7 linked regions of the Callithrix jacchus genome follow. The protein of the gene in region 1 interacts with the protein of each later gene in a pairwise test. Links are inferred from orthologs where the notes say so. Each region holds a gene or a part of one and is shown in the gene's direction. Other genes may lie near its edges.

The links.
Region 2: the proteins of CCNDBP1 (region 1) and U3 small nucleolar ribonucleoprotein IMP3 interact in binary tests that used the Homo sapiens proteins (3 or more experiments, as listed by UniProt). The two-hybrid records come from large-scale screens. The link is inferred for Callithrix jacchus from reciprocal best matches to the Homo sapiens genes CCNDBP1 and IMP3.
Region 3: the proteins of CCNDBP1 (region 1) and PSMB10 interact in binary tests that used the Homo sapiens proteins (3 or more experiments, as listed by UniProt). The two-hybrid records come from large-scale screens. The link is inferred for Callithrix jacchus from reciprocal best matches to the Homo sapiens genes CCNDBP1 and PSMB10.
Region 4: the proteins of CCNDBP1 (region 1) and PIMREG interact in binary tests that used the Homo sapiens proteins (3 or more experiments, as listed by UniProt). The two-hybrid records come from large-scale screens. The link is inferred for Callithrix jacchus from reciprocal best matches to the Homo sapiens genes CCNDBP1 and PIMREG.
Region 5: the proteins of CCNDBP1 (region 1) and PEX39 interact in binary tests that used the Homo sapiens proteins (3 or more experiments, as listed by UniProt). The two-hybrid records come from large-scale screens. The link is inferred for Callithrix jacchus from reciprocal best matches to the Homo sapiens genes CCNDBP1 and PEX39.
Region 6: the proteins of CCNDBP1 (region 1) and RPLP0 interact in binary tests that used the Homo sapiens proteins (3 or more experiments, as listed by UniProt). The link is inferred for Callithrix jacchus from reciprocal best matches to the Homo sapiens genes CCNDBP1 and RPLP0.
Region 7: the proteins of CCNDBP1 (region 1) and PMP2 interact in binary tests that used the Homo sapiens proteins (3 or more experiments, as listed by UniProt). The two-hybrid records come from large-scale screens. The link is inferred for Callithrix jacchus from reciprocal best matches to the Homo sapiens genes CCNDBP1 and PMP2.

The regions. Positions count from the first base shown.
Region 1 is NC_133509.1:30,923,987-30,928,413, forward strand, and holds the start of CCNDBP1 (cyclin-D1-binding protein 1), read left to right. Parts: upstream 1-1,606; 5' UTR 1,607-1,671; coding exon 1,672-1,780; intron 1,781-1,945; coding exon 1,946-2,005; intron 2,006-2,284; coding exon 2,285-2,364; intron 2,365-4,427. Other genes in the region: TMEM62 (transmembrane protein 62), read left to right, coding at 425-751. UniProt on the Homo sapiens protein: May negatively regulate cell cycle progression. May act at least in part via inhibition of the cyclin-D1/CDK4 complex, thereby preventing phosphorylation of RB1 and blocking E2F-dependent transcription.
Region 2 is NC_133509.1:22,563,073-22,566,220, reverse strand, and holds U3 small nucleolar ribonucleoprotein IMP3, read left to right. Parts: upstream 1-1,252; 5' UTR 1,253-1,308; coding exon 1,309-1,863; 3' UTR 1,864-2,397; downstream 2,398-3,148. UniProt on the Homo sapiens protein: Component of the 60-80S U3 small nucleolar ribonucleoprotein (U3 snoRNP). Required for the early cleavages during pre-18S ribosomal RNA processing. Part of the small subunit (SSU) processome, first precursor of the small eukaryotic ribosomal subunit.
Region 3 is NC_133521.1:25,466,218-25,470,512, reverse strand, and holds PSMB10 (proteasome subunit beta type-10), read left to right. Parts: upstream 1-1,417; 5' UTR 1,418-1,533; coding exon 1,534-1,589; intron 1,590-1,784; coding exon 1,785-1,872; intron 1,873-1,958; coding exon 1,959-2,056; intron 2,057-2,169; coding exon 2,170-2,310; intron 2,311-2,573; coding exon 2,574-2,689; intron 2,690-2,800; coding exon 2,801-2,859; coding exon of another isoform or gene 2,860-2,976; exon of another isoform or gene 2,977-2,986; intron 2,987-3,322; coding exon 3,323-3,474; intron 3,475-3,594; coding exon 3,595-3,706; coding exon of another isoform or gene 3,707-3,711; 3' UTR 3,712-3,773; downstream 3,774-4,295. UniProt on the Homo sapiens protein: The proteasome is a multicatalytic proteinase complex which is characterized by its ability to cleave peptides with Arg, Phe, Tyr, Leu, and Glu adjacent to the leaving group at neutral or slightly basic pH.
Region 4 is NC_133506.1:108,004,128-108,008,677, forward strand, and holds the end of PIMREG (protein PIMREG), read left to right. Parts: intron 1-61; coding exon 62-361; intron 362-1,861; coding exon 1,862-1,953; intron 1,954-2,528; coding exon 2,529-2,559; 3' UTR 2,560-2,573; intron 2,574-2,878; 3' UTR 2,879-3,987; downstream 3,988-4,550. UniProt on the Homo sapiens protein: During mitosis, may play a role in the control of metaphase-to-anaphase transition.
Region 5 is NC_133505.1:51,396,685-51,399,418, reverse strand, and holds PEX39 (peroxisomal biogenesis factor 39), read left to right. Parts: upstream 1-1,643; 5' UTR 1,644-1,663; coding exon 1,664-1,978; 3' UTR 1,979-2,193; downstream 2,194-2,734. UniProt on the Homo sapiens protein: May be a peroxin involved in the PTS2-mediated protein import pathway.
Region 6 is NC_133510.1:123,328,273-123,332,842, reverse strand, and holds the start of RPLP0 (large ribosomal subunit protein uL10), read left to right. Parts: upstream 1-1,761; 5' UTR 1,762-1,794; intron 1,795-2,042; 5' UTR 2,043-2,090; coding exon 2,091-2,144; intron 2,145-3,494; coding exon 3,495-3,670; intron 3,671-3,778; coding exon 3,779-3,866; intron 3,867-3,971; coding exon 3,972-4,118; intron 4,119-4,224; coding exon 4,225-4,410; intron 4,411-4,570.
Region 7 is NC_133517.1:45,253,985-45,258,318, forward strand, and holds the start of PMP2 (myelin P2 protein), read left to right. Parts: upstream 1-1,291; 5' UTR 1,292-1,344; coding exon 1,345-1,417; intron 1,418-3,410; coding exon 3,411-3,583; intron 3,584-3,794; coding exon 3,795-3,896; intron 3,897-4,334.

The DNA.
Region 1 (4,427 bases):
CCTTCTCATGACCCAGTTATTTCCTTCACTGAACTAATCACCATCTGTAATTATCTGTTTTGTTTATTTTTTTGGTCTTTCTTCTCACTGTTAGAATGCATAAGCTCTATAATGGACCTTTTGTTGTATGTATATGTGTTGTATGTATAATGTGTGTGTATACATTTAGTTCAATTCCAGCTTAACACCACTGGGACCTCAACATAAATTAAATGATACCTGCTTTCAAAGTGAATAAAAGGACATGGGCAAATACACAACTAGGCGCAGGTTAGCTGTTGTGTTATAAGCAACTGTGCTTGAAGCATAATTAGCTAACCCCAAGACAGAAAGCAGCATATTCTTAGAATCCATCAGTAACGCATTATTAAGACCAAACTCTTCCAAAGACTTGGGAGTAAGCTATGTTTCTGTTCTTTTCCAGTTGGCGTTTTTTAACATCCCCTTGATGGCTTACATATGTTGGAGCTTGCTGCAGCGGTGCTTTGGTCACAACTTCAGGTCTCATCTCCATCAAAGAAAATACTTAAAAATTATGCCAGTTCACCTACTTATGCTGCTGCTGTACATCTGGCAGGTTTATTCCTGCTACTTTCTTTATGCAACATACGGCACCCTAGCTTTTTTATTCTCCCCTTTGCGGACTTGGTTGACATTGTCGACACCTGTTCTCATTCGTTGTGTGTGGACACTGAACCCCACCAAGCTTGGAATCTTCATGGTGCAGTTAAAAAGCCACCTGAACTCCTGAAGGCCATGTCTCACCACTGGCAGCTGGGCAGAAGCCCAGCCTTTGTGTATGTAGCCCAGGCTTCCACCCCGGTAGTAGGTGGAAGGCCAGTATTAGTGGGTGAGTTTAGGGAGCTGCTGCTCCTTGGACTCCTGGATGTTGGAGGGATTACCCACTACTGATAACCTGCAGAGTGGACTGCAGAAAAGTCTCAAAAATGATGCTTTTATTCCTTCCCTCCCCAAGGAGGTAAAGGGTTGATTTACTATGGTGAAGAGAAAACCCTCATCTAGGACACCCACAGGGTAGGGGTTGGGTGTGTGTGTATGGGAGTATCTGAGACCCAGTGTGTTTTTTATGGCTACCCCATATAAAGCATCTACCGCTGTGCTTAGAATTCAGCAGCTGTCAAAGGCGCAGTTTCAGGGACAGGGAACCTGTGAGGATCTGGATCCGACCCCGACTACCTCTGAGATACGAGTTCCCTGGTCTATTTTCCCACAGGATTGCGGGCTCTCTGGTTCCTTAGTCGGAAGTGTTTTCAACTAATTATATAAATGAATGAATGATGAATAATAAATACCTTGGGCCGGAGCCTTCTTGTGTGGCGGGGCCTCTGGGGCGAGAGAAGGCGTGGCCTAGCCTGGCGTCTGAGAATGGAATGGGTGGTACACGACCTCTGGGAGCCGGGCGGGGTGGGGCGGGAGGAGGAGGCGGGGCCTGGCCTGGTGTCTGAGAATGGAATGGAAGGTACGGGACCTCTGGGATCCGGGTCGGGTGGGGCAAGAGGAGGCGGGGCCGGGTCTCTGGGGCGGGGCGGGGCGGCTTGTTGCCGGAAAGGAGTCCCAGACGCAGCGACCCGGAAGTAGAGCGGCTGTCACAGTGCGACTCCCGCTGCGGCGGCAGAGGCCTGTGTTTGCGGCCTTCTGCGAGCGACGAGGATGGCGAGCGCAGGGGCACCTGCAACCGCAGTCCCCACCTTGGCTCCGCCTTTGGAGCAGCTCCGGCACTTGGCAGTGGAGCTGCGGTTGCTCCTGCCTCGAGTGCGGGGTGAGCTTACGGAGTGGGAACGGGCGACGGCAGGGGCGGGCTCGGGGTCTGGGAGAGGCCGGGCTCCGGGTCGGGTAGAGGCCGGGCTCGGGCGAGGGAGGTGGCTCCGCTTACCTCAGCTTTTCTATTTGCCACCGTTCGGCCCCCCAACGCCACACCCACCAGTCGGCGAAGCCCAGGAGACTACTGAGGAGTTTAATCGAGAGATGTTTTGGAGAAGACTCAGTGAGTGCGCCTTCTGTCCGGGCTCCCCTGCCTCAGCTTCTCTAGCGTTCCAACCCCTTTCCCTCCTACTCCCCACCGCGGGAGGTGACTGCCCTCCCCCGCTGCATCCTTTCTGTGGGATGCCTTATCCACCTCGGCACCTGAGGGAGTGAAATAGAATTCTAACATCGACATTGGGAGATGTTTTTGAGAAGTCTCGGTCGGTAAGGGAACGCGCTTCTTCCAAGTCCGTGCAGCACTAACATATTGGCACCTGCCTCTCCCTCTGCCACCCCCCAGATGAGACAGCTGTGATGGTGTCAAGGGAAGCCACGACTCTGACCACAGTCTTCTCTCAGTTTCCACTGCCATCTCCACAGGTGGGCTTCACTTTCCTGGAGTCCTTGTGCTGCTGAGTTACACATTTAGGAATCCTCTCATTTTCTTTCCACCTTTTACATGCATGCCAGATTTATCTTCATCTGTCCAATGAGGTTACAGTTTTTCCTTCACCCGATTATGTGAAGACCAAATTGCAAAGTGCAGTTCCTGACGCGGAGTAGGCAGGTCTTCTAAATATTGATTCAATCAGAAGTTCACCCTGGTTGTTTTCCTTTCCGATAATTTTTTAAGCACTTTTTATTTGCTGGGTGTTTTCACATACTTGATGGCCATCAGACAGATGAGCAAGCAGGCTCAGATGCACAGGTTAAGATTTTTTTAAAAACCAAGGGAGGTAGGATTTATATCAAGATCTACCTGATGTCTAAGCTATACTTATTCTGTTATACTACATAATAACCTTTTTATATTGAATTTTTTTATATTTAAGCAGTAACATGTAGACAGTATAAAATTCAAAAGAGATCAAAGTAAAGTATACTAAAAGTTTATCTTCCCACCCACTTTCTCATTTTTGTCTCCCCCAGTTCCTTTTGCATTATTCCACATATATTCTGTGCATATATACATTCATGTACATTTATCTGTATATGTCAGCTTCTTTTTACACAAATGATAAGATACCATAAACACTGTTTGGGACCTTTCTTTATAGAAATTGACAATATGTCTTGGAAATCAACTCTTAGCAGTACCTATAAAGTTGCTCAGTTCTTTGTCATGACTGCATGGTATTCAATAGAGTAGATATAAACATAATTTAAGCAGTACTATATGTGGACATTTAAGCTGTTTCCAAATTACAATTACTGCAAACAGTTCTGTGATGAATTACCTAATTCTGTTTATGTGTGTATATAAGGAGAAAAAAAATCCCAGAAGTGGAATTGCTAGAACAAAGAATTTATGCATTTTAAGTATTCCTTTGTGATAAAACTAATGAAAGTAAACATGTTGGCTATGACCAGCTATGCTCTATGCTCAGTTTTTCTAGAGCTGTGTATCCTTAATATGGGAGTAAGATTCTTGTAAAATGGCATATTCATTGCTTTATTTGATTTTCAGTCAATAGTTTCAATTTTATCAGTCTATATATACAGGTGTTTGGAAAGAATATAAATATCTTCTGCTATGTGTACCTACAATGATAAACTCTCTCCCCCTATATACCTTTGAGTTTTGTTTGTTTGTTTGTTTGAGACAGTCTCACTCTGTCTCTGAGTCTGGAGTGCAGTGGCAAGATCTTGGCTCACTGCAACCTCCACCTCCCGAGTTCAAGCAATTCTCCTGCCTCAGCCTCTTAAGTAGCTGGGATTACAGGTGCCCACCGCCATGCCCGGCTAATTTTTGTATTTTTAGTAGAGACAGGGTTTCATTATGTTGGCCAAGCTGTTCTCATACTCCTGACCTCAGGTGATTCACATGCCTCAGCCTCCCAAAGTGCTGGGATTACAGGTGTGAGCCACTGTGCCTGGCTTACCTTTGAGATCTGCAACAAGGAAACGAGATGATTTGTATGAGAGCACTTTAAAAGATCATGGAAATAGACTACTTATTTCAAAAAGAGTAGTTAATATTATTTTTCTTATCTGCTAACCTGTTTCTTTCAAATACACTTGGGATTTGTTGCTAAAACTCACTGCAAGTAAGATACCATGAGGAGGCAGCATAGAACTGATTTTCTATACATGCTCAGGATAGTAGTTATACTCATAGATGAAAAATTAGAATATGGATTTATTTGAAATATGTACAAATATTCATGTATATAAATATATTCAAATTGTATATACATGTATGTATACACACACACACATATATATACACATGAATCATCATTGTCTTCTTGGGATCTCACCACTTTAGTCCTACTAAAAGATGAGTTTTTTTAAAATTTCAATCTGTATGGATTGATACTTTAATAAAATTATGTGCTTGGATGTTGAAGAAATGTCAAATTGCCATAAAAGTTTCTAAACACTCTCAGTCACTGTCCTTATCTCATCCCTGACTGGTCACAAACAGTTTGTAGACTGGCACC
Region 2 (3,148 bases), about 8.4 Mb from region 1:
TTTTTTTTTTTTCCTAGGCTGGTCTTGAACTCCTGGCCTCAAATGATCCTCCCACCTCAGCCTTCCAAAGTGCTGGGATTACAGGCGTGAGCCACTGCACCCGGCCCCCAAATATTGTATTGTAAAAGACAATAAAAAGAATACAAACAAAAATGATCAGAGAGAAGCTAGGTGGCGTCAAATGCCTGGGCAAAAAGGGGTTCGGTCTGCAGCGCTACCCTCAGATTAATTTACGGATGCAACTAACCCAAACAGCATTAAATTTGCCAACTCAATGCTTGGTGGCCAGAGATGCATGTCAAGATAATTCATTTGAGCACAGACTAAAGGATTTGGACTTGTACTTATAGTCCAAGTTTCTCAAACTTGCTGTTTTTTACGAATCATCTGATTCATAACGCAAGTGTTGCGTTAATAATACAGATTTCCAGGCGGCTCCCTTATAGATTCCGATTCTGTGCTCCTAGGAAGCAGCCAGGCAATCAGTATTTCATGGGTTCGGTGCCACCTGGTCCAACTTGACAGTGAAGAATCACTCCGCCTGCCAGGTGAGCGGATCAGCTGAGATCAGGAGTTCGAGACCAGCTTGCCCAATATGGAGAAACCCTGTCTCTTGTAAAAATACAAAATTAGCCAGCGTGGCGGCCCATGCTTGTAATCTCAGCTACTCAGGAGGCTGGGGGAGGAGAACTGCTTGAACCGGGGAGGCGGAGGTTGCAGTAAGCCGAGATCACGCCACTGCACTCCAGCCTGGACAACAAGAAAGAAACTCCGTCTTAAAAAAAAAAAAAAAGGACCTGACGCTGGCGGCCGGCGGGAACTACCAGGTCAGCCCCAGGACAGTCCGCCCCGCAAGCACTCCCACGGCACCGCAGGAGCCCAGTTAGCACAGTAAACCCAATCAACAAGCCACAGTCACCCCTCTTCCCCAAAAATGGCCTCTTCAGCTCTAGCACGGAAGACCGTAACAGTCCCCAAAGGGCATTAGTCTTGGAGGAAATGATGTCTACACAAACAGTTTTGGCTACTAAAAACCATGCGGAGCCTCGTAGGTACCCGTCCACACCACCTCCCTCCGGTGCATCTACCCACTCCTTCACCAAACGCGAAGAAAAAAAGAAACGCGAGATGCCAGTGCAGAGGCGTGGTCTCACCTTGACCAATGGGAAGTGAGGGCGTGACCCTAAGCTTTTCTTTCATTGGCTCAGGGTCCCCAGGCTTCCAGGTTTTGGCGCGCTGGGGCAGAAACCGCGCAGGCGTCAGAACGCGCTCTCAGCCTCGGGTCCTGCTGCTGAGGTTTCCGCCATCATGGTGCGGAAGCTTAAGTTCCACGAGCAGAAGCTGCTGAAGCAGGTGGACTTCCTGAACTGGGAGGTCACCGATCACAACCTACACGAGCTGCGCGTGCTGCGGCGTTACCGGCTGCAGCGGCGGGAGGACTACACGCGCTACAACCAGCTCAGCCGTGCCGTGCGTGAGCTGGCGCGGCGCCTGCGCGACCTGCCCGAACGCGACCCGTTCCGCGTGCGCGCTTCCGCCGCGCTGCTGGACAAGCTGTATGCTCTCGGCCTGGTGCCCACGCGCGGTTCGCTGGAGCTTTGCGACTTCGTCACGGCCTCCTCCTTCTGCCGCCGCCGCCTTCCCACCGTGCTCCTCAAGCTGCGCATGGCACAGCACCTTCAGGCTGCTGTGGCTTTTGTGGAGCAAGGCCACATACGCGTGGGCCCTGACGTGGTTACCGACCCCGCCTTCCTTGTCACGCGCAGCATGGAGGACTTTGTCACTTGGGTCGACTCGTCCAAGATCAAGCGGCACGTGCTGGAGTACAACGAGGAGCGCGATGACTTCGATCTGGAAGCCTAGAGGCTCTCCCACTCTCCACGGCTGTCTTTTACAGATGGGAAAACTGAGACCTGATGCTGGGATTCTCTGAGGGTGCTCTCCCCACGGGTGTCAGACGGTTGTAGGTTCTTAAGAACTTGATACATCAAGGGCAGGCTGTGCACAGAGCCACTGGAGGTGCGTCCTTGTTTTCCAGGAAATGTTATTAGAACTTGGACTACTGATTTTTGTGCCTTGGGAAACAGTGGGAAGTAACTTGGTGCTGCTCTGGGGTATTGTTGGCTTCTTGCGTTGGAAACTTTGTAATGTAAAAGCAAAAACTGCAAATCCCCACGCTCTGTTTCCCTTTATCGACTTGTAACTGGACTGGTTCCATTCATTTAACTCGAATTCTTGCCCCTGGCCATGGGTTTAAGCTGTGTAGAGATGATGGGGAGTTTGGTGGGCTCAAGTTTTTATAAACTCAGTGAGACTAGTGTGTTCAGGATCTCCTCCCTTGTTTAAAGGAATGCTTTCCTAATGCCAATAAATTACTCAGCTGCTTTGTAAGTGCAACTTTTTATCTGTATGCTTTTGTTTTCTTCTTTCCTCAAGACGGACTCCTGCTCTGTCACCCAGGCTGGGTGCAGTGGCGAGATCTCAGCTCACTGCAACCTCAGTCTCCTGGGTTCAAGCAAGTCTCCTGCCTCAACCTCCCGAGTAGCTAGGATTACAGGTGCCTGCCACTGCGCCCGGATAGTTTTTGTATTTTTAGTTGAGATGATTTCCCCATATTGGCCGGGCTGGTCTCTAACTCCTGACCTCGTAACCCGCTCACCTTGGCTTCCCAAAGTGCTAGGATTACCGGCATGAGACACCGTGCCTGGCCTCTAGTTTTCTTATATAGGGTCATATTTATGCATCCCAGGAACCCAGAGAAAAGGAATAGAGTCAGCAGCGACCTGCCTGTGGATGAGCTCTGCAGTCGGGACCACATATGGAGGATGCAGGATGTTGTACAGGATTCGGCATATTTGTCACTTTACCAGTCCCTTCCTTGGAAGGAATGTTTTGGCAGAGCTCTTCCTCACAGGACTTCCTGTGGATATTCCAGCCCCAGGAAGTACCCTATTAGAGGGCTGAGGTGTTTGCTTGTCTAAGGAAATAATCACCCTGGAGCTTGGCCATCTAGCAGTTGGAGTTCCCAGGAGTTCCTGGAAATTTAGATGATAGCAGTGATAAGAGAATTAGAAGGGAGAGTAGGCAGACTACGAAGTTTTACTCAAGACTCACTCTTTTTTGAGATGGAATTAATTTTGCTCTTGTC
Region 3 (4,295 bases), on another chromosome or scaffold:
AATAAAAAAAAAGAAAATAAAAAAATTTTAAAAAGTAAAATAGGCCAAGCATTGTGGTTCATTCTTATAATCCTAGCACTTTGGGAGGCCGGGGGTGGATCGCCTGAGCTTAGGAGTTCAAGACCAGCCTGGGTAACATGGTGAAACCCCATCTCTATAAAATATACATACATATATATATACACACATACACGCATAAAAAAAATTAGCCAGCTATGGTGGTGTGTGCCTGCGATCCCAGCTACTCAGGAGGCTGAGGTGGAAGACTGCTTGTACCTGGGAGGCAGAGGTTGCAGTGAACCAAGATCACAACAGAGTGAGACTCCCTCAAAATAAAAAGAAAAAGTAAACACTTCAGCAGCTGCATGCTGCTCTTAGGCTCAAACCCAAATCTTTTTTTTTAAAACTTCTTTTTAAAATTTTAGTAACTTTTAAAAAATAAATATGGAACACTTCACGAATTTGCATGTCATCCTTGCACTGCACAGGGGCCATGCTAATCTCTGTGTCGTTCCAATTTTAGTATATGTGCTGCCTACGCGAGCACCCAAATCTTCCCCTCCGCCCCCCGCTTTGAGACAGGGTCTATTGCCCAGGCTGGAGTACAATGGCGTGATCCATGTCTCACTGTGGCCTCGAACTCCTGGGCTTCCAAAATGCTGGGATTACAGTGGTGAGCCACCAGGCCCGACCTGCTGAAGGGTTTAAACCAGAGAGTGTGCCAGATTTCCAATTTAGAAAGACTCTCTGCAGGGTAAAGTGTAGCCTGAGGTGAGGGGCAAAAATTGCGAAGTAACCAGGGAGGCCAGTGCAATGTCAGTGTGGGAGAAGATGCTAGCTGAGATGAGAAGTGCTAGAAGATGTCTACGGACAAGAGGTCACTGGGAGATGAAATAACAAGGCTTGGCCATGAGTGGAAACCAGCAGCCACAGTGCTCCTCTTGAGAGAGGGAAGATGGCACCTGAGACAGGGAAGATGGAAAGACCAGTATCACTGCGGCTAACTGAGCCTCTGTTTGAGGTTTCGCAGAGGAGTAAACGCAACAAAAGAGGCAAGAGTTGGAAGAAATGTGACAAGGAACAAAAGTCAGCCACTCCTGATGCTACTGGTTAGCCAGCAACAATGCAGAAACCTGGCCAAGGCTCTGACAGCCTTCGGGTGTTGGGACTGGAAATCAGAGTTGAGGCTGGGGTAAGAGCCGGGGGCTCAGATGGAGCAGAAGGAAAAGCTAAACAATGTCCAGAAGGGAAGAGACTTGTTCCTCTGTTCAACGGAGGACCCGATGAGCAGCACAAAGGGTCCAGCAAGGGACATCATCCTGTACCCAAAATGCTCAGAGCCACACATAAAGCCGAAAGTGAAAGAGAAGATGCCGAAAACCGCCAGGGGACTTTGAGGAAGGGTAAAGGCGAAAGTGAAAGTAGAAAGGACAGACGTGGAGCCTAGCAGAGGGCTTTTCAGCTCCTCACTGGCCCCACTTGTCTGACCCACCCATCTGCCCGCGACCCCTAATCGGCTCTGCCTGCCCCAAGATGCTGGAGCCAGCCCTGGAGACCCGAGGGGGTTTCTCCTTCGAGAACTGCCAAAGGTGAAGGGGAGGGTCGCTCCCAAGCCGCCTCTGCTTGGTCGTGGCCTTTTTTCCTGGTTGGGGGTGGGGGAGGGTGTGTTCAGCGACGGGTTCCAGGCTTACACTAGAAGATGAGGGAGACTGGGACCGGGTTAGGGGAAGCAACAGGGGTCTTGGAAGTAGAGCTGAAACCTGCGCCCCCTCCTCCCTTTCCAGAAATGCATCCTTGGAACGCGTCCTCCCGGGACTCAAGGTCCCTCATGCACGCAAGACCGGTACCACCATCGCGGGCCTTGTGTTCCAAGTAAGCCGCGGGGAGGGACGGGGGAGCTGGAGGGGAGCCAGGAGCATCAAGCAGGCACTGAGGCTGCGGTCCCTCCCTCTCCTCAGGACGGGGTCATTCTGGGCGCCGACACGCGAGCCACTAATGATTCTGTAGTGGCGGACAAGAGCTGCGAGAAAATCCACTTCATCGCCCCCAAAATCTAGTGAGACTCCCCTAGCCTAGTTCCGGCACGCAAAAAAGAACCGCCCCTTCGTTCCTACTCCGGTCCCCGCACGTCCTAGCCCTGCCCACGCCAATCCTCCTTTTTCCCCTCAGCTGCTGTGGGGCTGGAGTAGCCGCGGACACCGAAATGATTACACGAATGGTGGGGTCCAAGATGGAGCTACACGCGCTATCCACCGGCCGCGAGCCCCGCGTGCCCACAGTCACCCGCATCCTGCGCCAGACGCTCTTCCGGTGCGAGGGCGAGGCTAACAGGACCCCGCGAGTGGCCGTTGCAGGGGCAGGGCCAATAAAAAAAGCGGAACAAAAGGAGGGCGGGGCCGTGACGGGCCAGGTGACCGGAAGAGGCCGGACTAAGAAGCTGGGCTACGGGAAGAGGCGAAGTCAGCTATCGAGCTCCAGGCCACAGGAAGGGGCGGGGATAGCACCCCTGGGTGGGGCATAGAGGGCCGAGGCCTGGGCCCCGCTTGTGGCCGACTCCGCCCATCTACGAGCAGGTACCAGGGCCACGTGGGTGCATCGCTGATCGTGGGCGGCGTAGATCTGACTGGACCGCAGCTCTACGGTGTACATCCCCATGGCTCCTACAGCCGTATGCTCTTCACGGCCCTGGGTGAGCGCTTCTGTCCCTTCTCCTCGAACCCTGTCCCTGTGACCTTGGCCTCAGGCTTCTACTCCAAACCGGGTGGCAGCCGTTGACTTCAGATGCTTCTCCTGCCTTCAGGCTCTGGCCAGGACGCGGCCCTGGCGGTGCTAGAAGACCGGTTCCAGCCGGACATGACGGTGAGCAGCCTCTGTTCCCCACTATCTGGTCGCTGGTGGGATGTGCACCTGGGAGCTGGGGGAGCACAGGACCCTGACCCAGTGTGGAGGTGGGGGAAGGCTCGTCGGAGGAGGTGACCACTGAAGGGTGAGTGGAGTAAGAGCAGAGAAGTTTGATCCCTACACCACACCGTCCAATACCAAAGCTTGGATGACTGGGAGCAGTCGAAGCTCACAGAGGATCTTTTGGAACCGAGGGTGAAGGGGAGGACCAGTAGGGTCCTATTTATATCAATGTCTGGAGCCCAGATTTTGTTTGGGCTAGGATAGAAGCAGGTGATGTATGTCTCCCCAAAGACAGGGAGGAACACAGCGAGGGTTGGGGGAGCAAGACCAGATTGGGTGAGTGGACAGGCAAGTCCCCAAGCTGTAGCCTAAATTAACAGCAGAGGGCCCATTAGGCCTCACACATCCATCACTGCAGCTGGAGGCTGCTCAGGGGCTGCTGGTGGAAGCCATCACCGCAGGAATCTTGGGTGACCTGGGCTCCGGGGGCAATGTGGATGCATGTGTGATCACGAAGTCAGGCGCCAAGCTACTGAGGACACTGAGCTCGCCCACAGAGCCTGTGAAGAGGTGAGAGCTGGAGGTGGGGGACCATAGGGATGTGTGGAGCCATAGCAGGAGAGATGGGGGCTGCAAGAAGGGGATGGGCCACATGACAGGCTCATGTTCAGAAGCTGTCCCTCCTCCCAGGTCTGGTCACTACCACTTTGTGCCTGGAACCACAGCTGTCCTGACCCAGACAGTGAAGCCACTAACTCTGGAGCTACTGGAGGAAACCGTGCAGGCTATGGAGGTGGAGTAAAATAGGCTGAGGCTTAGAGCTTGGAACAAGGGGGAATAAACCCAGAAAATACAAACAGCTAAACAAATGACTGTCATTCTTGAGTGGAGTGGGTGGGCAGGCAGCCAGCGGGGCTCTGTAGCTAAGGCGTCCCTGCAGGAGCCATTACCTCCCAGAGCTCCAGTGCCTGGCCTATGAGATGCCCTTCACCCATCACCTCCGGCATCTACTACTCCAGAACCCCAGCCCTTGCCAGCACTGCAGGCTTGGATGAAACGCCCCCATCCTGTCTCCACCTGAACCTTCCTTCTGGCTCCCCCGCCAACTCCATTGCCTTGCTCTTGCCCTCTGGTCCACTGGAGACTTGTAAAACCTGAAAGACCCCATGTACTACCACCTCCTAGAGACTTTCCATGGCTCCTCAGTGGCCCAGGACAAAGTCCATACCTTTCAGTCAGGCCCCCACAGGCCCCACTGAGGGCTAAAGTGCTGACAGAGGAGCTGCTCCCTGACTGCAACACAAGGTCTCACCAAGCACTCCTCAACCTTGCAACATTCCTTACCCGTGACACCGCTCAGAAGATGAAGCACGCCTGCACTGCTCACAGAA
Region 4 (4,550 bases), on another chromosome or scaffold:
ACCGCCGCCCAGCCTCACCCTTGGTTTTGTCTGTGCTAACATTTCCATTTGCCTATTCCAGAGAATCCAGGAGTCCTGCCAAAGTGGCACCAAGTGGCTGGTGGAGACCCAGGTGAAGGCCAGGAGGAGGAAGAGAGGAGCACAGAAGGGTAGTGGATCCCCAACTCACAGCTTGAGCCAGAAGAGCACCCGGCTGTCTGGAGCCACCCCTGCCTACTCACCCTCAGGCCCCTGGGAGAAGGCGCATCACTGCCTCTCTGCCCAGATGGGCTCATGTGCCCGCCCGTTACGGCGGTCGAGGCGGGAGGCAGCCTTCCGGAGCCCGTACTCCTCTACAGAGCCCCTCTGCTCTCCCAGGCAAGTAGGACAGTTCCTCACCCTGGGGCTGGTAGCCTTTTAGCCTGGGCACAATCCCTGCTCTCTGACCTCCTAGACACTAACTGGGCCCCAGGGGCACCCTGAGTGGAGTCACAGCGTGTAATTATTATCCTTATTGTTAAATGCGTGTCCTGCTTTAGCAGAGATCCAGGGCATGTATTTGTTCATTAGAAAATGAGACAACAGGACGGGCACAGTGGCTCATACCTGTCATCCCAGCGCTTTGGGAGGCCGAGGCGGGCGGATCACTGAAGTCAGGAGTTAAGAGACCAGCCTGGCCAACATGGTGAAACTCCATCTCTACTAAAAACATAAAATAAGCCAGGCGTGATGTACACACCTGTAATCCCAGCTACTTGGGAGGCTGACGCAGGAGCATCGCTTGAATCTGGGAGGCAAGGGTTGCAGTGAGCTGAGATCACACCACTGCACTCCAGCCTAGGCAACAGAGTGAGACTCCATCTCAAAAAAAAAAGAGAAAACAAAGCAATAACTGGATTCCTAAGGGTTTTATTTCAACTTTCCAGCTGAGCTATAGGGGGAAAGGTAGTGTAGTGTGCTAGTTAAGGCTGTCTAGTAGCTTTGGGCTGTTGGATTTTTCCCACATTTCTTTGAGGCTAGCATCTTTCTTTAGTCTCACAGGAACCTTGAGCTGTGATTAAGGCAGGCTCTGTTTTTCCCGTTTGACAGGTAAGGAAATGGAGGTCCGGAGGGGTTTGGTGATTAGCATGGGGGACATCCTGTAGGCAGTCGAGGAGTAAAGGCGGAGGTCCAGATCACCTGGATGTTCTGCCCCACCCATCAAGCTGGCCTGTCCTGCAGAATCTTCTAGTTCTCAGGCCCAGAAACTGGCCTGGCGCAGGGTAGGGAGTGAAGCTGTTCCCAGTCCGCAGACCCTGGCAGCTAGTTTCCTGTTCCCATCTCGGGGCTCCCAGGGAAGGCTGCCTACCCACTGCCCCTGCATCGTGGCAGGTGGTCACCAGGATGCGTGTTTAAGTGACCGAGTGGCTTTGCACAGTGCAGGAGCAAACCTGGAGGCTAAAATAAGGCTCGTGAACACTTCAAAAATACTCTCCACATCTGCGTTCTGACCCAGTTCTGCCCCCAGAGCTAGTGAGGGACCTGAGCCAATCAATCCTCCAGGACCTTAGTTTCCCTGTCTGTAAAGGAAGAGCTGAGCTGAGCTCTGACACAGTCACACCCACCCAAGCCTCCTAGTGAGCCCAAAAGCAAGTTTTGACTCTAACTGGAGGGCTGAGGCTCAGTTTCCAAGTGGGGAAACTGCAAAATCCCTTGCCCATGACCTCGGCCTCATGGATCTTGATCTCTCTGTTCTTTGCTCTGAGGTCACTTCCTGGAGTGAGGGTCTAGAGTGAAGCCCAGCCCACCAGGGTCATCCAGGCCCAAAGACCAGACCCTGGTATGAGGCCCACCAGGGGTTTGCAACTAGTCACTGGTGTGGGTTTTTCTTTCATTCAGTGAGTCTGACAGCGACCTAGAGCCTGTGGGGGTGGGAATTCAGCACCTACAGAAGCTGTCCCAAGAGCTAGATGAAGCCATCATGGCAGAAGAGAGGTGAGTTGGCATCCCATGCTTCAAAGTGAAATGGCCGGAAGGGCCCCTCCAGCTATCTTTGCAGGCAGGTGCCGGTTTTGCTCTGACCTGCTGTGTGACCCTGGCCAGTCTCTGCCCCTCTCTGAGCCTCAGTCTCCCTTATCTCAAACACAAGAAGAGATAAAAACCTGGACTGGGGTGATGGTAAAGGAGGCACCCTGAATGTGTGTGGTCTTCTGGGCCTTGCACCCCCACATTTGTCCATCACTTGGAATCTCACATGTGGCTGGTTCCATTCCTGAAAAGCCTACCCTTCCTCCAGAACTCTCCATGGCTCCTCTGTGCCCTCCCTGCCTATGGAATTGGGAAAAGCAACATGACTGCTATGGAATTCCTGGTCTGTCCGCTCATGACCCCATCCTGGGGGCAGGGCCTTGGTTCTGGATGTCTCCTAACTCAGGGCTGTTTCCCCATTCCACTTGTATAATGGCCATGATGGACTCTAAGGCTGGGTCTGATCTTGTCTAGCCTAGACTGGGAGGGCCCTCTCAGAGCCCACCACACCCAGTGGCATCCATCCCTCCCCTTCTCTCTAGTGGTGACATCGTCTCTCTCATTCATGGCTGATGAAGTGCCTGCAGGTAATGCCCACTGCCCCCCCTCCCCGACCCCGGAGATCTTTCCCAATGTCCTCCTCCACCTTACGCATGAGTAAGTTAAAGAAAAAGCCCACAGACCTAATGGGCACAGCAGAGTCAGTAGTATCTGCCTGCTATTTGAGGTCAGAGCTAACCTCATGACCCCCATCACTAACTGAGCATGCTGGGGGCCCCGAGTAGCTTCAGCCACCTTCTAGCACCTCTCACCCTGCAGTGGGCAGGGAAAGGCATCCCTGCTTCTCCTCCTGGAGCACAGTGAAGGGCCCAAAGGCAGCTCTGTCTTGCAGGAAACAAGCCCTGTCTGACCGCCAAGGCTTCACACCCAAGGATGTCTGTGCTTCCCCATGCGCTTCCTGGAGGAAGTCTGCAGGAGTCATCAGTACCCCTGAGCCCCTGCTAATGAGGACCTGACTAACAAGGGGCCTGGAGCCCCCCTGCTCCGGCCACATCTGGACCCATCGATGACTGCCAGCCATAGCCCGAGAGTGTCTTGGGGAGAGTGTCTGGCAGAGGTGGGGAGAATTGTACCTTCTGCTTTCCCAGGGGACTCTCGAGCTTAGAAACTCTATACACCTGACTTTGAGCTTTGTATTTGCCTCATCTGTAATGTGAAGTGCTAGCATCCGATGTTTGAGAGCTCTTAGCCATGTACCCAGGTGTCTGGTTTTGGGGGTGTCATCCGCAGAGTCACTCACTGTCTGTGTTTCTGGTGCCAAGGCTCCCGAGGGCCCCACTCTCATCCCTGCTTTCCCTATCAGGGACTCAGAGGAGGGCATAGGAGCTACTTCCAGGCTTAAGACCCTGGGCTCACAGGTACCTATTTATATGCTCGAAGCAGAGCGCTGTGGGTATGCCGGGAGGGGTAGCCTGTTCAAGAGCAATTTCTGCCCTTTGTAAATTATTTAAGAAATGTGCTTTGTCATTTTATTAGAAAGAAACCAGCGTGTGACTTTCCTAGATAACACTGCTTTCTCATAATGAAGACTGTTTGCCTTTGACATCTGTTCCCTTTCACTGCCAACCTCCAACGTCCCCCCGCCCTCCCACACCACTCTGTGCTATAGATTTGTGGTTTGGGGTCTGGCCCTCATCTACCGCTGCTCCCAGCCAGGGGGCCCCCCAGTCCCACCCCAGGGAGAACATGTATAAGCGGAAAGGTTTCTCAACTTCATTCAGAGCAAAACACATTGTAAAGGCAAATAAGGTTTTTATTTAAGTGACAACGTTTGAGAGCTAAAAACCAGCTCACATCAAAATCAAGACTAGTTGTAAAAACCGTTTAACTCCATAATGCTGTTTTTGTCTTGTTAGAAATCTGGTATCTTACATTAGCGTTTCTAACGGATTTTGTACAAGGCAGCCATAAAGAATATAATAAACCTTTTTCACCACGGAACCATCTGTCACAGATAATACTGAAAGTTACACACTTAGGAACAGTCAGACCACAGACAAGGTCAGGCTGGCTGCCACCACCAAGTAAACAAAGAGAAAAGGACAGCGGGGTCCAAGGGTGGGGGGCCCTGTGCACAAGTCGCCCTCCTCTGGCCTGCCCCTCCTTGGTGACACCTGCCTCTCCTTTGCCCGAAAGAGGGTGGAGTCAAATTCAAATTTTCCTCCCAAGAGCCTGTTAGTTTCTCAACAAGGAGAGCAGGACCTAGGTCAGGCGTCGGGGCTTGGACTTAACCCTAACTATGGTTTTTAAGAAAGTTCCCCTAAGCCTAGAAGGAAAGGAAAGAGGGGATGTTGCTTTTGGCTGAGCCAAAAGACAATAGGTTTCCAGGGCACTTCGCACCCAAACCCCCCCAGATGGGATTCGGTGGGAAAGTTGGTTGTTTAAGGCGGGGTCAGGGCTCCCCTTCCGGGGCTGCACCTGGGCTGGGTGGGAGAGTGAGGATGCAGAGGACTCTCGCCTCATGAATGACTCCAGGGTACAGCTATGGGTCCCAAAGGGGTAAA
Region 5 (2,734 bases), on another chromosome or scaffold:
TTCTTTGGACAGGACTACTACAGAAGATAATGCTGTGTCCTTCTCAATGCCAGTGCATCATATCAGGAGGCACATGAGGCCAGTTTGTCCTATTATTATTTTTTTTAAGACTGAGTCTCACTTTGTTGCCCAGGCTGGAGTGCAGTGATATGATCTCAGTTCACTGCAACCTCCCTGCTTCCTGGATTCAAGTGATTCTCCTGTTTTAGCCTCCCACGTAGTAGGGATTACAGGCAGGTACCACCATGCCCAGCTAATTTTTTGTACTTTTTTTTTTTTAACGGAGTCTCGCTTTGTCACCAGGCCTCAGGTGATCTGCCCACCTCTGCTTCCCAAAGTGTTGGGATATTAAGTGTGAGCCACCATGCCTGGCCATTAAGCTTTGATTCTTTGATTAAGATTCACCAGATCAGTCTAGCTTTTGATAAAAAAATTTTTTTTTTTTTGAGTCAGAGTCTTGCCCAGGCTGGAGTGCAGTGGTGTGATCTTGGCTCACTGCAACCTCCACTTCCGGCGTTCAAGAGATTCTCTTGCCTCAGCCTCCTGAGTAGCTGGAATTACAAGTGTGCACCACCACAATGAGTTACTTTTTGTATTTTTAGTAGAGACAGGGTTTCACCATGTTAGTCAGGCTGGTCTTAAACTCCTGAGCTCGTGATCCACCCACCCTGGCCTCCCAAAGTGTTGGGATTACAGGCGTGAGCCACTGCGCTCCTTGGCCGCTTTTGATAATTTAAAAACCTGATTTTCCAAGCAGTCAGAGCAACTGTAGCACATCTGACCTGCCTTCACTTTCTATCTTCTCTGGGAGTACCAGGATTTGAAGAATGGCAGGAAGTGTGAAGAGAGTGATGTGGCTCTGGCTGGGTGCGGTGGCTAACACCTGTAATCCCTGCACTTTGGAAGGCCGAGGCTGGGGGATCACTTGAGGTCAGGAGTTCGAGACCAGCTTGGCCAACATGGTGAAACTCCGTCTATACTGAAAACACAAAAATTAGCTGGGCTTGGTGGCGTACACCTGTAATCCCAGCTACTAGGGAAGCTGAGGCAGGAGGATCACTTGAATCCAGGAGGCGGAGGTTGCAGTGAGCTGAGATGAGGCTGTAGTGCGCTGAGATCGTGCCACTGCATTCCGGCCTGGGCGACAGAGTGAGACTTCGTCTCAAAATAATAATAAGAGAGTAGCGTAGCTTGGTGGCGGCGTCACTCCTGAGGCCCCTTGGAACAACTCTACAGTCATGCTTTGTCCAGTGCTGCGGGGCCTAGAATGGGGATTATTCCCCGCCATGTGTTGTACCTGAATCCCTGTAAGCGCGCCTGTGGGTGTGCACAAAAGTGGGCATGTGCACGGTGCCTATGCATGTATGGGTCTTTTTGCCTGCAGCGGCGCGTCCGCAGGCATGTTCCGTCCTGTGCTAGCCTTCAGGTTTTGACGCGTCCGTCCCTTTTTCTTCTAAAGCACATTCTACGTTGGGCACTCTGGGTTTGGCTAAATCGTGCACGCGTCTAAAGCGTTTCTGCAGGAAGCTGGGTCAGAGCTCTCAAGTGCTCCCCCAGTTCTGGGCCGGCTTGGTACGGTCTACAGCCTCCCCTTCCTCCCCCCCTCGCCCCGTGGTAGTTGCACCCGTTCAGTCCGGAAGCCCGTCAGGCTTCGCGACCCGACATGGAGCGTCCCCGCAGTCCCCGCCGCTCGGCCCCGGCCCCGGCCCCGGCCTCTGCTTCGGTTACTCTGTCGCAGCTCCTGCATCTGGTTCAGCAGGGCCAGGAGATCCCGGGCCTAGAGAGACGCCACATCGCGGCGATCCACGGCGAACCCACGGCGTCCCGACTCCCGCGGAGGCCCAAGCCCTGGGAGGCCGCGGCTTTGGCTGAGTCCCCTCCTCCGACCCTCAAGATAGGAACGGCCCGGGCCCCGGCGGAGCCTGGCTTGGCTGAGGCAACGACTGCACCTTCTTCATGGCATACAGTGGGGTCCTGAGGTTCGAGGTTCTTTCCAGCGGAGATCTGGAGGGCGTGGCTCCAGTACCCTGAATGCCAGTCAGTTACTCATCTTTTGTTTCCTCTCTGACCTGCCTCAGCTGGACTTGTTCCTGCAACCACCGTCGAGGTTTCGTATTTGCATTTCTGGGACATGATACGCAGTTCAGAAAAATTCTGTTTCAGCCCTTATATGTAATAAAAGGTTTGATGATGTAACTTGGGCCCAGAATGACTTTGAGGATACATTAAAGGAAAGCCCAAAGCATTTAAATAAGCCAACCAAGACTAAAATCTTGGTTTTTGGAATCAGCTGGATCAGGCAAGGGGCTAGAAAATTAGAACTTTGGAAAGGGTGCCACAGCTACCCTGAAATTAATTAGTCCTTTTATATTAAATATGCTGCCTGGCTCAGTCCACTTACTTTCTCAACACTAGATTTTACTTTCTCTACAAAAGCTAGAGTGTACCTGGTGCGTGCTGACAGGAGCATACCCTAACCCACAGATTATGTAACAGGTCTAGCTTTTCTCAAAAATAAGGATTGTCTCAAAACTTGTTCAAAAAATTAGTTATGTCATGGTACATATACACAAGTGCATAAATTTTATAATTTGTATAAAATTATAAGTTACAAACTTGTTTCATTATGCTTTTTATTAAAAAAAAACATTTTTAGTCAACTTACTCCCTTTTTTTTTTGAGATGGAGCCTCTGTCGCCAGGCTGGAGTGCAGTGGTGCAATCCTGGCTCACTG
Region 6 (4,570 bases), on another chromosome or scaffold:
ATTTGCTTTTCACTTTGTTTTGTGGATATTTTCCCATGTCAACAAATATAGATCTGCACCATTTTCTAATGGCTTCATGGTATTCCGTTATATTGATGTACTACAATTAGAGATGATATTTATATCATCAGAGCTAAGAGGTCCTTGGAAATGTACCTTTTGCATATGTATATACTTGGAAAAGTGCGTTCAAAGGGAGGCAGACTCAGGGTTTGGAAGGGACTGTATAGCACACTGAGTCCCAGGGGCTTCGAACTTCCTCCTAGACTTCAGTTCTGAAGCCATCACTTACTGGCTGAGAGACCTGGGCAAATTATTTAACCTTCCTGTGAGTATTCTCATCGATAAAATGGGAGTGCTAACACAGGACTGCATCTCCTCAGAGGACTGCTGTGAAGATGAGCTTCCGTAATATGCACAGAGTACTTAGGATGATGCTAACCGTGCAGTAACACATGGCCATCAGAAAGAGATCTCAGGGGTGGGCAAGGTGGCTCATGCCTGTGATCCCAGCAATTTAGGAGGCCAGGGTGGGAGGATCACTTGAGTTCAGCAGTTTGACACCAACCTGGGCAATATGGCGAAATCCCATCTATACAAAAAATTAGCCAGGCGTGGTGGTGTGCACCTGTAGTCCCAGCTACTTGGGAGGTCAAGGCTGCAATGAGCTGAGATTGCTCCACTGCATTCTGCCTGGGCAACAGAGAGAAACTCCTAAAAAAAAAAAAAAAAAAAAAAAAGATCTGATGGAGATGAATTACTCTGTGGATGTTTGTTGGCTAGTTTTCTAGGAAGAGGAAATGGCCAATGCAAAAGCCCTCCAGTGAAGCCTGCTTTGGAAAAGCAGCAGAGCATCATCTGGCTGGAAAGCAAATAAGTCAGAGGGAAAACATCTGAGATAATTATAGAGGGCATGACGGGCAGATAGGTAGGGCCTTGTAGGTAGTTTAGATTTTAGGTTTTACTCTGTAGGAAACGGAAAGTTTTGAGAAGATAAGGAGATGAGCTGACTTAAGGGTTTTTTTAATTTTGTTTTGTTTTGTTTTGAGACGGAGTCTCTCTCTGTCGCCCAGGCTGGAGTGCAATGGCACGAGCTTGGCTCACTGCCAACTTCTGTATCCCGGGTTCAAGCGATTCTCCTGCCTCAGCCTCCCCAGTAGCTGGGATTACAGGCATGCGCCACCACAGCCGGCTAATTTTTGTATTTTTAGGACAGTCTGGGTCTCGCCATGTTGGCCAGGCTGGTCCTGAACTCCTGACCGTGTCAGGTGATCCACTGGCCTTGGCCTCCCAAAGTGCTGAGAGTACAGGCAGGAGCCACCGCGGCCGGCCAGGTTTTAAAAGTATCCCTCTGTTTTGGTAGGAGGAAAAACAAACTAGAGAAACCAAGAGACCATTCTGCTCTAAGCATTGCAATTATGTCTCAGCCCCATGTCACGCTGTTTAGTTTGCTGAGCTGGCCAGGTGGCAGAGCGAACTCCCAATTAGCTTACTCTAGCGCCTACAAGAAGGCAGCTCCAGCCCAGCAGGTGGCAGCAGCTCAGAGCAAGCGCCTCCAACGCCAGGCAGCTCCTTCCTTCACGATCCTACTTAAAGGCGGCTTCCGTTAACTGAAGTGGCAGCAATATTATCCAATGGCTGCTTGTATTCGTTCGGCTTTGTCGAACGAGCGATGTCGCCAGCCAATAAGTGGGGGCGTTTATCCGCGGTTTCTGATTGGCTACTTTGTTCGCATATAAAATGAACGCTCTAGCCTGCGGCCCTTCTCTCGCCAGGCGTCCTCGTGGAAGGTTTGTGCGTCAAGCCGATCGGCGCCAGGGGCCAGAGGCGGGAAGCTTGGAGGGATCTTTGGGGGCCTTTTGGGAACATGGAGTCCTCTCCTGCTCCCCCTGGGGCCTCGGTGATGGCTCGCACTCCCCGAGGTGGCAGCGGCTGCCCCAGGCCGGGCCGCCGGGCGCTTGCGCGTGTCCTGCTCCATATAGGTCTGGGACCGGGGGATGGGTGCCGGGGTGACCAGGCCTGAGCTCCCTATCTCTCCTCAGTGACAGCGTCTTTAAACCCTGCGTGGCAATCCCTGACGCACCGCCGTGATGCCCAGGGAAGACAGGGCGACCTGGAAGTCCAACTACTTCTTGAAGATCATCGTAAGTGTGGGCTGGGTCGCCGCTGCCCTTCATGTTTCCCCAGCTCAGATAGGGACAGTCGGCTGCTAAGTGCTGAGGGTCTCCTCAGTTCCGGCTCCTGAATCAGGCCATTTTCAGGAAAATCCTGTTTAATTAACAATTCCCTGAGATAGGTCGCCTCTGTTGCAGATAAACAGGCTCAGGCAGGTGGCTAAGATGACAGCATTCATATCCAAGTCTGTTTGGCTTCCAAAAGAGTGCACATTATGCTTGCTTTTTTATTTTTTTGAGACAGAATCTCTGTCGCAAGGCTGGAGTGCAGTGGCGCGATCTCGGCTCACTGCAACCTTCGCCTCCCTGGTTCAAGCGATTATCTTGCCTCAGCCTCCCGAGTAGCTGGGACTACAGGTGCCCGCCACCACGCCCTCCTAATTTTTGTATTTTTAGTACAGAAGGGATTTCGCCATGTTGGCCAGGATGGTCTCGATCTCTTGACCTCGTCATGTGCCCGCCTAAGCCTCCCAAAGTGTTTGGATTACAGGTGTGAGCACTTTTACTCCATCTTTGAGAAGGTCTGAGGTCAGGAATGACTCATTGTAAGGAAGCAAGTTGTTGCATATTTAGGACCTGTCATTCAGGAAACTGAAGTGTCCAGTGACTCTTCTTTTGGATGGCCTTTTGGGTGGGTCCCCCTTGCCCAGAAACACTGACCATACTGCACTTAAGCAATTAGGCAGCATTGTAAAGCATAGCTTGTATTACATTCTCCAATACTTCGAAGGTTTTCAGACACAAAACCCAAAAGAACTGTACAAAAATCCAATTATCCACACCCAGATTTTTTTTTACAAGTAATATGTTGCATATTTGCTTGTGTTGTGTTTTGAAAGCTGTGAATCTACCCGTCCTCTCGACCAGCTTATTTGGAATAGTCCTTTTTTATCCTTTTTTTTTTTTTTTTTAAAGACGGGGTTTCACCATGTTGGTCAGGCCGGTCTTGAACTCTGGACCTCAGGTGATCTGCCCACCTTGGCCTCCAAAGTGCTTTTTTATCCTCTTATAACCATTTTCGTGAATCAAACATGCCTCATAATTGGGAATAGTTAAAAACTAAGAAATTAAAGGAGAAACTCCTTGATTGAATGTAGAAACCTAATTTTCACCGTTTCTACCCAGCAATCGTCATCCAGTTTGGCAGTGTTACAACGTAGCTCCTAGTGGGAAGAATGGCCCCAATCTCCCTTTTGCTTCAAAAGCCTATCAGAAAGGGAGTGAGATGGAAACAAATTGTGGCGTTTTTCAGTTTCTCCTGGCATTTTTCCCCCCTCTTTCTTCCTGTTAAACTTGGCTTTTCTCTGGCTTTTTTTGTAGCAACTATTGGATGATTATCCGAAATGCTTCATCGTGGGAGCAGACAATGTGGGCTCCAAGCAGATGCAGCAGATCCGCATGTCCCTCCGCGGGAAGGCCGTGGTGCTGATGGGCAAGAACACCATGATGCGCAAGGCCATCCGAGGGCACCTGGAAAACAACCCAGCTCTGGAGAAGTCAGTCAGTTCCCGGGGCAGCTTCGTCCTCCCTCCTCCGTGCGAGTCTCCCTCTTTCTGGAAAATGGTGCTGAAAGGTGATTGTTTTCCGTAAACTTCTCTTTGCAGACTCCTGCCTCATATCCGGGGGAATGTGGGCTTTGTGTTCACCAAGGAGGACCTCACTGAGATCAGGGACATGCTGCTGGCCAATAAGGTAAGGGGACAACTGGACTGGCTAAAGAGGCTTTTATCTTTGCTCCTTAAAGCAAAACGGACGATTCTCAGTGGAGACACTTTTCTCACTGTTGTCTTTGTTCAGGTCCCAGCTGCTGCCCGTGCTGGTGCCATCGCCCCATGTGAAGTCACTGTGCCAGCCCAGAACACCGGTCTGGGGCCAGAGAAGACCTCCTTTTTCCAGGCTTTAGGTATCACCACCAAAATCTCCAGGGGCACCATTGAAATCCTGGTGAGTGGACCTGGTTTGCCTGTGCTAGCCAGCCAAATGGGGGGCTTTTTAGTGGCCATGGGTCTGCTGGATGTTCAGGTGTTAACTGCCCCCATTTCTTGTTCAGAGTGATGTGCAGCTGATCAAGACTGGAGACAAAGTGGGAGCCAGTGAAGCCACGCTGCTGAACATGCTCAACATCTCTCCCTTCTCCTTTGGGCTGGTCATCCAGCAGGTGTTCGACAATGGCAGCATCTACAACCCCGAAGTGCTTGACATCACAGAGGAAACTCTGCACTCCCGCTTCCTGGAGGTATATGCTCTCAGCCTGGCCCCCTCTTACACTGATGGTTAAGAGCATGACAAGTGCTGGGCACGGTGGCTCAAGCCTATAATCCCAGCACTTTGGGAGGCCGAGGAGGGTGGATCACGAGGTGAAGAGATCGAGACCATCCTGGTCAACAAGGTGAAAC
Region 7 (4,334 bases), on another chromosome or scaffold:
TACTAAATGTATGAAACCTGGTAATATCAGTTGTCTAACAGTCAGAATCAATGCTAAGGTTAATTTAAAAAAACCTGCTAGGAAAAGATATAGCAGTAATTAGAGATTCTTAAGAGCAACACTTATGTTCTAAGTGGATTTACATTTGTTCCCCTTGGTCAAAGACTGGGGTTTCGACATAATATAGTAGACTGGATCTCTTGATTTTTGAAACGAGCATGAGTGTTGCTAGACAATCGTGGTGCTCTCAGCATCAGTGATCTCTGGCCAGGGCCTCTGTGGATGCAGTATGTATGATATATAATAGAAGCAGGGTAAGATCATGGTTCAAAACTTAGGCACTGGTGGCAATGCTGGGTTCAAACCTGTCCTCTCCTTATTCATATTTTGGAAGCAATTTATCTAATGTCTCTCAAACTCATTTTTCTCATCGGTAAAATGGATATAATAATAGTTCCTAACTCTTGGAGTTAGTGATATAATTAAATGAGATCACCTGTACTAAGCACTTAGCAAAGTGGCCCATAATGAGCTCTGAATATACATTAGTACCCTTTCTATAAAAAATCTTCTTTTTATAAAATTGTAGACTCATTTTAAATGACTTAAACACAAAGTGGTTATAGTTGCCAGAAACCTCCTTAGTTCAGACTTTAAGTATTTTTAGATGAAAATCTTTGCTGTGGTCAAAGAACATGTTACAGTGCTACTTCTTGTTCCATCACATGAATACAATTTCTGTGCTCTGCTGCAATAGACTGACCTCTTTGTCTGCCTACTCTGCCTGCCTGGGATATGTGAACTATGCCAAGCCTTCTTACCTATGAATACTTCCTCACACTGCTCCCTTACATTTCTCTCCCACAACATATTTGAGACTGTTATCATAATACTTACAGATATTTTCCTCTCTTTCTTCCCTTTCAATAAGAATTAATTGTGCAGACTCAGGATTGAGAGTGAACGACATGCCTAAACACACACACATTCATTCACGACAATAATTCATGCAGTCTTTTCCAAAGCATGAAGGGCCTAAGCCTTCTTATAAATGTAAGATCAATCAAAAATTTTTTGAAGGTTCAAATAGTAATCTCATTCATTTTATAAATTTTTTTGGAGACAAAAGGAAGTATTATATGGGGTTTTCTTTTATCCTATTGGGTGGGCAGCTGGTCATTGAAAAGCCATTCATTGCTTAGTCCTGACATTGCCTCTCCCCATTGGGTCTCTCTAAGAGTCACATGCTCCAGGCTTCCTTGAAAAGAATCTTCTGAGGCCTCAGCATCTTATCTGAATCTCCTGAATCCCACTTAGAACTGTGTTGAGCTCTCACCCATCACGATGAGCAACAAATTCCTGGGCACCTGGAAACTTGTCTCCAGTGAACACTTTGATGATTATATGAAAGCTCTGGGTAAGAAATGCTCTTTGTTGTTCTGCTGAAAAGTCCGTTTTTAAGAAAACTACATGACATTTTCATCTAACACCTTTAACAGGAGACTGGGGAAGTTTGCACAGCCTGCAGTACAATCCTCTTTTAGGATTAATCTTTTGTTCTGTCATTCAGATAATTTATTTGCATTTTATTTGTGGTAATTTTTATAGACTTTAACTTAAATGGGAGAGCTACTTAAATGCATGGAACTCCCACTGATTTCAAAGGCAATTTCGTACCAAGAAATGCACTATTTTTGACATGCAAAATTTTGGTTGCAGACCCAAAGAAAAGAAAGCTTAAAAGCATGGTCAATCTGTTTTCCGGCTTTTCTGAGAGCTAGGTTTACAGCAATTTAGGTGCTCATAAAAGAAGGAATTGAATATATTGCAGATCCTAGAAAATCTCAATTTAAAATTTTAATTTTGATCTAAACAGGTTTTTCTCTCTACCTTTAGGTTGTTCTTTATTACACAATCACGTAGATACGGAGAGTTTGAAAAACAAAAATACTTCCTAAAATATTATGTTCATAGCCTAGGGAAGTTACTGAGAGAAAAAGAACTGGAGGTGTGGCAGTGAATTCAAACTCAATTTCACGAACGTCAGATGTTCCTGGAGTTGGAGGAGTGAATGGCGATGAAAATCCTAGTTACTAGTTACGACAACTTTATTTTATATGATTTCTAGAGTATGTCCCCTTAATATAACACAATAGATATGAAGAGTTTTGGGGAATCTTCAGAACTATATAAATATAACAATGAGTAATGCCAGTGACCTAAGGTTGCTGTACTTGTCAAAGTCTCTACTGCTTTACTTGGCTGTTAAGAAAGCTTGTATAAAACGTTCTATTTTAGGTAAAATGAGCAAAGTAATGTCATTGTTGCCTGGAACACTATGAGAACTTATGGGCATAAATTCATACTGGGAGATCTGTTAGATTTAAAGACTTCACTTTACAGCTGAGGAAGAAGCCAAGTAAGAGAAAGTCTCAGTGAAGGATTCTCTAATTTCATTGCTTTCCGATTTTAGTGTGCAAAAGGATATTTTGGGATTTGGTAAATATAAATTCTCAGACTCTGCCCCAGAGATTATGATTTAACTTGAAAAACATTGTCCTAAAATAGCAAAAGATTAATCAGAATTTGAAGAAAGAATATAGGGTATAGTTTATTGGCTATAACGCTTAACTTCTTATTTAGTATATAAAAGTTTGGGATCTTTTTAACCGGAAAAAGTATGTCCAAGCATTAAGACGTCCTGGGAAACCAGTTTCTCTTTCATATATTTTTTATTTGACATTTTTCCTTTTCCATATATTTTATAGTCTTGGTGATAATAGTAATAAAGTTAAGAGTTTAATTTTGTTTTTGAAATATAGAAGTTTTCTTTTAAAATTATTTTATTTCTCTATGATCATTTGTAATAGATTTCAAAGCTAGATGGTTAGTTTTTTTCTACCAGCTAGATAAAGAAGCTACAAAATTTCAGAAGTGAGAGCCATATCAAAAATATGAGGGGAGTACTTCTCCACATCTATAATATAGTATTGAGAGAAAATATCATGGAACAATATGTATATGCTTTAGTCGCATTTTAAAAATATCTATAGTATTTGAATGTACAAACTAAAATCTCTATAATGATTTATGCAAATCTGTAACTAGTAATTTTCAATGGGGAGTAGGATTGGATATAATAAAAATGGATGACATGCATTATTTCAGCTGGAAACTTTTACTCTTGAAAATCTGCAGACATTACTTCTGTAACAACAAAACCTAAAATGTTTGGGTTCTGGGCATGTATTTCCATTGGGAGTGAAACATGGGAGGAGATCCCTAGTAATAAGTTATACTACCTGTCATCAACACACCTGGGGCACCGCCAAGCATAGGATGTGGCCACCACAGTCTCTTCAGGTATGCTGTCTTGGGCAACATAATTCTAACACTATCTTAATTTTCAGGTGTGGGGTTAGCCACCAGAAAACTGGGAAATTTGGCCAAACCCAGTGTGATCATCAGCAAGAAAGGAGATATTATAACTATACGAACTGAAAGTACCTTTAAAAATACAGAGGTCTCCTTCAAGCTAGGCCAGGAATTTGAAGAAACCACAGCTGACAATAGAAAGGCCAAGGTAATCTTTAATGTTTCTCTTCAAAGTTGGCCCAGTGGGCTGCTTGAGAAAGAGGAATATTCCTGCTAGTGTTTAAAAGGGTAGACTCTATTCTGATGAAAAGGAGTATACCTACTGAGACATCTATTACAAAAATGATTCGGTACTGAATGAACTGCTTCTTTGATCAGCAAATCTCAGGCAAGTCAATTGCATGACCTTTTCTTTGCAGAGCATCATAACCCTGGAGAGAGGATCACTGAATCAAGTGCAGAGATGGGATGGCAAAGAGACAACCATAAAGAGAAAGCTGGTGAATGGGAGAATGGTAGTGGTAAGAGTATTTTCACTTCTAAATACAGAAATAATGCTATATAAACAACTTGATTACATTATTTTCAAAGTACTCTTTGTTTTTTGGAATATCGATGGATAAAAATGACTAAGAATAAAGTAAGAGTTAATGTTTAAGTGATATTTAAACTATTACAGGCTCCTTTTCAAGTATTGACCCAAGATTTTAGAAATAAAAAAGCCCATTTGTTATTTTAAAAATAAAAACACCTAACAATAGCAGTAAAATTAAAGAAAGTTTAGGTAAATCTTACTAGTTTGGAGTCAGAGAAACTGAGTCTAAATTTTAAAAGCAAAATACAGTCTGCAAGGCTCATTTGTAGACTATTTGCAGATATCCAACCATTTTGCATTCAAGAGGCCATAGTAACTTAGAATAAACCATGTCAGTAAAGCAAGCTGAGCTCATTGGAGACTT